2 linked regions of the Bombyx mori genome follow. The protein of the gene in region 1 interacts with the protein of each later gene in a pairwise test. Links are inferred from orthologs where the notes say so. Each region holds a gene or a part of one and is shown on either strand. Other genes may lie near its edges.

Evidence for each region.
Region 2: the proteins of neurexin-4 (region 1) and patj homolog interact in a two-hybrid assay, tested with the Drosophila melanogaster proteins (2 studies listed by BioGRID). The link is inferred for Bombyx mori from reciprocal best matches to the Drosophila melanogaster genes Nrx-IV and Patj.

Annotation. Positions count from the first base shown.
Region 1 is NC_085115.1:15,840,618-15,844,445, forward strand, and holds part of neurexin-4, read left to right. Parts: intron 1-295; coding exon 296-472; intron 473-1,019; coding exon 1,020-1,181; intron 1,182-1,496; coding exon 1,497-1,713; intron 1,714-2,094; coding exon 2,095-2,239; intron 2,240-2,324; coding exon 2,325-2,431; intron 2,432-2,998; coding exon 2,999-3,124; intron 3,125-3,202; coding exon 3,203-3,406; intron 3,407-3,828. UniProt on the Drosophila melanogaster protein: Seems to play a role in the formation and function of septate junctions.
Region 2 is NC_085111.1:10,386,390-10,390,217, reverse strand, and holds part of patj homolog, read right to left. Parts: intron 3,629-3,828; coding exon 3,486-3,628; intron 2,535-3,485; coding exon 2,349-2,534; intron 1,737-2,348; coding exon 1,588-1,736; intron 130-1,587; coding exon 1-129. UniProt on the Drosophila melanogaster protein: Involved in cell polarity establishment. Probably participates in the assembly, positioning and maintenance of adherens junctions via its interaction with the SAC complex.

The sequences.
Region 1 (3,828 bases):
TAAAATGCTTTTAGTTTATATTTTCAATAATTTTTTGGAAGAAATCTTTAAGGCATGCTTAGAAACTATCCCATTATCCAGAAACAATTGGGTACGTGTGTGTTTCATGTATACTAATATTGAGTACATTATAATTGAGAGTATTCAATACTAGGTGAAACCATAATATTGTCTGCTAGTCTACAGCATTATACAAATTATGTCTAAACTGTTAGAGCACTGTAAATGAAGAAATGACTACAGTGTCAGTTTTAAAATATTACAAATTAATTAATTTAGTATTACCTTGTTACAGTTGTACATAGGGGGCGTGCCGAATTTACAAGAGGGTCTAGTCGTGAACCAGAATTTCACAGGCTGCATAGAGAACATGTACCTCAACGCGACCAACGTTATACAAGATTTGAAAAAGGGCTATGAGAGTGGCGAACCATTTAAGTTCCAGAAACTGAACACCCTGTACGCGTGTCCGGTGAGTAGCAGCGACCGCAGTGTTCTAACGTCATTAAAAAATAAATAAATATATATATATATATATTTTTAAGGGATTTTACGACCTGGTAACTAAGACCTTTATGGCATGTCTTATTTTAATTTATATTGTTATTTTTATGAAAAATGATGAAATGAAATGAAAATGATTAATTTGAGATATTAATCAATTGGGATGAAATCAAATGAGATGCGATGAGATGATATGGGATGAAATATAATCTCAGTAAAATTGTGGTCATTTTAGTGGACTTTTTGGAGGATCCCGAGAAGCTACGTCCAGCGGCCTTGTTTCATTTTCCCACATTTGTGCACTTTCACAGATACTAAACAGTTAATAAACTACCGTTATTACACATTTAAACCTGAAGAAACACTAAATAAACATAATAAAACAAATCACGCAACTTCCGTCCTCGCGTTCCCGCCAAAAAGTCCCAAAAAAATTATTTAATTATAAAGCACAGATAATTTAATCTTCTAGTTTTCTCTATGCCCGTTTTCGTTACTCCGCTGTGTCTGTGTAGGAGCCCCCTGTGGTGCCGGTGACGTTCCTGAAGGAAGGCTCGTACGCCAAGCTGCGCGGGTACTCCGGCGGCAGCGCGCTCAACGTGTCGCTGGAGTTCAGGACCTACGAGCTGCAGGGGCTGCTGGTGTACCACCGGTTCAACACCGAGGGATATGTTAAGGTACCTGCTTATAGGACAGAAATATGTTTAGAATTTTACTAGTTAATGTTACCGGTGCGTGTCGGTGACGCGATCAGAATGAAAAAAATTAAAGAAAGAGAAAAAACACGAGTGTAGTTTTGTCTCGGTCTCTCGAAAGCGATGCCATTGTATATATTATACATTTACGTACATATTACCATCGTACGAACCTGACTACATGACAATGGTGTAAAACAACTGAGATGCGGACGCGGAGACAAGATGAAATACTATTTTATATTCACGTTACAGCTTGTAGCCGGGTTTGTTAATATTTAGTTATTTGTCCATCAGGTATATCTTGAAGATGGTAAAGTGAAAGTCGAGTTGGAGACGGCCGGATCTCCTCGCGTGAAGCTGGACAACTACGTGGAGCTGTGGAACGACGGTCGCTGGCACTCGCTGATGCTGACCCTGGCCCCGGACTCGCTGGTGCTGTCCATGGACTCCAGAGCCGTACACACGTCAAAGAGACTGCGATTTCTTACCGGCAGCTATTATTTTATTGCTGGTGAGTGTCAGATTTAATGTGCAGTCGAAGCGTTCCTCGTGGGTGGCCATGGTCACGTCATGCTTGTATCGTTCGGATAGCTGTGTCCAGGAATTCAACAAAATGACAAAATTATATTTTTATACTTTTATTAAGTACTGCTTTTTACAATTTTATATTATTCGATTCACAATAAGTCTGCGGCTTATCGCTTATGTTGTTGGTGTTGTGCACGTGTCTCTGTCGCGTCTCTCTGCCTTCACGTTTTGTCACCCCGCACTCCGCTTCCGCGTGCCCTCCTCGTTTGGGTATCGTCGCCGACAGTTGGGTTTGTAGTTATAAGTTGTATACTACACAGCAACCAGCAGACTGGCAAACATTAACATAGTATCGTTTCTTCAGGAGGCAAAGCCCCACCGCGCGGCTTCATCGGTTGCATGCGCAAGATTTCCGTGGACGGCAACTACCGCCTGCCGACGGACTGGAAGAAGGAGGACTACTGCTGCCCCAACGAGCTCGTGTTCGACGCCTGCCAGATGATCGACAGGTGAGTAGTTGAGGTCGCGCCGCACTGTGCTGACGGAGCCTCACCCTCACCCTCACCCTCACCCTTACCCTCGGCCGGCCCGCAGGTGCAGCCCCAACCCCTGCGAGCACGGCGGCCGCTGCGCGCAGACCGCTGACGAGTTCTCCTGCAACTGCCGCGACACGGGCTACGCCGGCGCCGTGTGCCACACGTGTGAGTACTGACGCTTCGACGATATTTAAAGTAAAGGTATTATCCTGAGAATAACTCATTTCGAGAAGGCGGCACGACATGAGAATCCCCTAGTCGTGGCCTCTGGAAACTACATACCCGATCCTGTAGACCGAATGGTAAACAGTCGACGTCGAAAGCACATCGTTACGGATCCCCCTGATCCATTAATGGTGCTTTTAGGCACCACAAGCACCGGTCACCGTCCTCGTCGAACCCGTCGCTTGCGACGAAGGACTCGACGAGCGAGTTAACTGATAGACACAGCCCTCTGAGTTTCTCGCCGGATCTTCTCAGTGGGTCGCGTTTTCGATCCGGTGGCAGATTCTGCGAAGCACTGCTCTTGCTAGGATCAGTGTTAGCAACACTCCGGTTTGAGCCCCGTGAGCTCACCTACACACGTTAGGGCGAAGCTGAAATAGCCTCTCAAGGCTATCAGCATAGGTAGGGAAAAAAGAGAATAAATTTTTAATGAGGACATGTAAGGACAACAGGTTTGGTTAACGAGGAGTAACAGTAGTTCTTCGATGTAAATGAGAATGTCCGCAGCGGTGCACCCGTTGTCGTGCCAGGCGTACCACAGTGTGTCGGCGGCCCGGCGCTCCGCCAGCGTGCACATCGACGTGGACGGCTCCGGCCCGCTGCCGCCCTTCCCCGTCACCTGCGAGTTCTACTGTGAGTACGCGCCCTCGCCCCCCAACCCCTCGCCCCCGCCCCCGCCCCCGCCCGCAGTAACCGCACCGTCGCTTGCAGCGGACGGCCGCGTGATAACGTCGGTGAAGCACTCGGTGTCGCAGAGCACGGTGGTGGACGGCTACCAGGAGGCGGGCAGCTTCCGGCAGGACGTCATCTACGACGCCAACCGGGCGCAGCTCGAGGCCCTGCTCAACAGATCTGTATCCTGCTCGCAGCGGCTGGACTACTGGTGCAGGCACTCGAGGCTCATGAACTCACCTAGTAAGCTCTAATATAAATAGATCAATAATGAATTAATAGTGAACGGTGTTCGGTAAGACAAATGTGATAGCACTAGATAACTAGTAGTCAATAATAACGAGGAAATATTACTTAAAAACTAAAAAAAAATACATGTGTTTGTACTCATATATTAGGCAAAGCTATAAAACAATTTGTGTCGTCATCAGCCCTTGATGTGTATCCAAATTTTCAAGCTAACAGCATGACTAAAGTCGGTGAACACACAGACTGTTAGAGGTCAAGCTTAGAAAAGCGCAGTCAAAATTGTATAATCTTTGTAGTCTTGTATATACTCTATGTCAGTCTATGGAGTATTTGTAAAAAAATGTCATTTAAAAAAAAAATGTGTGCGTGTACTAGTGTACACACGTAAGAAGTGAAACTTGTTTATGGCCTTATTT
Region 2 (3,828 bases), on another chromosome or scaffold:
CTGGGGTTCAGAAGACCACATAGCAAGTCCGGTTAGTGGTTCGAGACTCCGGGAACGAACTTTCCCAGCGGCGGACAGCGACCCGCCTTCCTCAGCACCCGCACCCGCCAGGCTACCGTCCGATTTCGCCTAAAGTATTAATAAAAATGATTAATTTCTACATTAAAATAAATGCCACTGAATAGTCGAGATTAGGTGCGCCTTACGGTGTAACAGAGATTTTTGAAGAAGAAATATATTTTATCTTTTAAACACAGAATCAAATAACTACTCTATCAAAAAAGATACAGATACGTTACCAAGGCTACGTCAAAGATACAAATCTACAATGAATGCAACGAGAAATTAACAGCCTACCGCCGATTCTGAAGAACGTGCATTTTGTAAATTTCAGCTTTATATCTATGGAAATTACATCTGTTCTTACAATACATAGATTAGGATAAGGATTTTTATTTTAACAAGACACAAGTATTGTTTCGATATCATAATGTCGGAAATGCCTTTTACTTATTACTTTATAGGGAACTTCTTACTAGAATCTCGATTACACAAATTAAATATGAATCATTCATGCAAACAAACATATTTTACCGTTCTCGGCACCTTGTAAGAGTTAATGGGCACTTTACTAACAACCCCAAACATCATGGATACCGATTTTGGTCACTGAAAAAAGACATCAGACCTGTTCATTTTGTTTTTTTAAAACTTTTGTTTTTGTCTTATGCAAATACACAACAACAATGAACGCATTGAAGAATGAATGCCATTTTAAATAAAAGGTACCTTATGTCAATGAACAACAAACGCGGTTACTTAAACATACAATTGTCAATCTGGATCTTAGAACAACTACATTTCTTTCTGATTGACAGACAGACTGACTCCTTAATTTATGTAGGTGTCTGCGATAACGTGTACAGCCTCCGCGTAATAGAGATAACATCATATTAATTAATCAAGCCTATTTATTATATTAATTATAATAATTATATTACTTTATCAATGCCTATTACTATTGACGCAATCGAATTTTTTAGTTAAAAAAATAGGTTAACCAATATTCTAGCGCAATTGAAACTTCTACCTAATTTTGCTTGCTAAAATGTCGACTTCGGAAGTATTAGCTGTAGGCTCTGTTAATTCCTAAAATCCAGGTCAAAATAAATGAAATCAAATCAAATCAGTTGAGCGGTGTCCTAATTTTTTTCTCTAAGCATTAACATTCTATTTTAGGAATGATCATACGAATAATTAATCCGAGTGTAATACTGTACTAATCAAATAATCGCCATTGTAACATATGTGAGCCCGTACGGACAGGTTCAACAATTCTATCTTGTTGTGGCACGAAGCTATCATACCTTCCAGTTTGGAACGTAGAACAATCGTTATACAAATCAATTAAATCAATTGAGACTCTGACCTAGTTTGACAGAGGGGGTAGCTATGTGCCAGCATTTGACACCAAGTGTAATTTGAGTTTGTTTATTCACTAATAAAATAAAATAGTTTTGGATTCATCTAATACAAATGTTTTTTTTTCTTCTGGTAAGTATATAATAGTTATAAAACAAATTTAACCTTCACTAATGTTGTGGCAGGCGGCGCTAGGTCGAGAGGGGGCGCAGGTCGAGGTCTCGCACACACCATGCAGACTTCACTCGATAATTCCTTCAGAATTGACACCACTTCTAAGTGGTTCATGCCCAGGAGCCGATGACCGTTCACTTCTGTAATTTGTTTATTTAATAATAAGCGCATGTAAACAACGGCAATTTTCTCATTTTCATTATTTTTGGAGGAGCCGGGCACGAATCACGTTTTCAACATTTCTAACTTACGTCGCGTGTTAAGGGGCTGCTTGGGGCGATTCGCAAAATGTTTAATAAATCGGAAAAATGGTCGTAGGAACTAGTAATTCGACACTGAATACTCTGATAACATTTGGAATGTGGAATCTTTTTTATTTTATTTTATTGCTATATGGATGGACGAGCTCACAGCCCACCTGGTGTTAAGTTAAGTACTGGAGCCCATAGACATTTACGACGTAAATGCGCCACCCACCTCAATATATAAGTTCTAAGGTCTCAAGTATAGTTACAACGGCTGACCCACCCTCCAAACCAAAACGCATTACTGTTTCACGGCAGAAATAGGCAGGGTGGTGGTACCCACCGGCGCGGAGTCTTCGAGCAAGATAATTGTTTGTGCTGATGATGGTTGCTTCGAATGTTTAAGCATCTCAGACCTGCATATCGTTATTCCCAACCCCTTTTATTGCGCCATAAACTGGACAGACAGTTGAGGAACAGACGTATGAGACAGTATAGTGCGAGTACCGAGCAGCTCGTCGCCGGGGCGATGCACGGCGGCGCGGCCCACGGGCCCCTCGGGCAGCACGGAGCGCACGTAGTGATGCGGCCTCACCTCGCGCCCCCCCTCCACGTCCACGGTGCCTTCTAGCGAAATGCCCAGACCACCCCCACCGCGCACCACCACGCCCACCACTATCTCCACGTCCTCGCCTGCAACCGTCAAACATATACATTACTAACATTATAAAGCTGGAGAGTTTGTTTGTTTGTTCCGATTTGAAAATTTGAAAATAAAAATTTTGAAATATTGTTTCAGTGAGAATTATCAGAATCGGTTCAAGCATTCTCGAGAAATCGGTGAACATACACAAATAAAAAATGGTGGTCGAATTGATAGCCTCCTCTTTTGAAATCGCTTAAAATGCATGATTTTGGTACTTAAAATACTCCTTAACATTCTATTATTCTAAAATATTTACACTTTCTACGTAAATGAAGTCGCGGGTAAAATTTAGCGTTATGCCAAAGTAACTATTCCACGCGGACGAAGTCGCGGGCAAAAGCAAGTACATTATGTACCACTCTTGATGTGGTCAAGAGAAAACATCCAAATATGTATTTATACTAACTTAAATTGTTGTCTACACTCAACTTTAAGCAAAGTGGTGTTTAATCTTAATATCTGGAACCTCATACATCACGTGCGCCATGTTTCCCAGTGGTGACATTTTGAAACACGCTCATCCTCCAGTGTTTTCTTAGTACTATGACTTACAAAAAAAACGAGAATGTTTTCCACAAATTGATTAAAGTTTATAAAGACTATTTAGGATAGCGCTAGTAGAGACGATGGTTTGTATTAAAAATCTATATATATAAAAATGAACTGCTGTTCGTTAGTCTCGCTAAAACTCGAGAACGGCTGGACCGATTTAGCTAATTTTGGTCTTGAATTATTTGTGGAAGTCCAGAGAAGGTTTAAAAGGTAGATAAATATGAAAATTCTCGGAATTAAATAAAAATAACAATTTTGTTTTCCCTTTGATGTGTCCCCCGTCGGACGAATTCCTTTTGTTTGTTTTAAGTTTATTTTATACAAAAGTTTAGGTCTTTTATTTATAGATTGAGGCACTACGAAGTCTGCCGGGTCAGCTAGTTTACCTAATATAGCCTGCCATTTCCTTCTTATCGCTTCTTTTTGTTCAGGAGTCCGTGGCATCTCGAACGCTGGTGCCGGACGCAGTGCAGTCGCCGGAGGACTGCTGCGAGTTAGAGGCACAGCGTCATCTGTGCCGTTATCCGTTCTGTAAGAGTCGTATGTCAATTTCAATGTTTAATTTCAATTGATATACTAATAATTTGCATACAGAATTAACCGTAAAGTTAATATTAGATACGATGCACTCCATTATTAGCGCCATACTGGAGTTTATAGTAAGTTTGAGACATAACATTCAAATATTAATTGCATTAGTATAGATACTGTCCAATCGGAACCCACGAT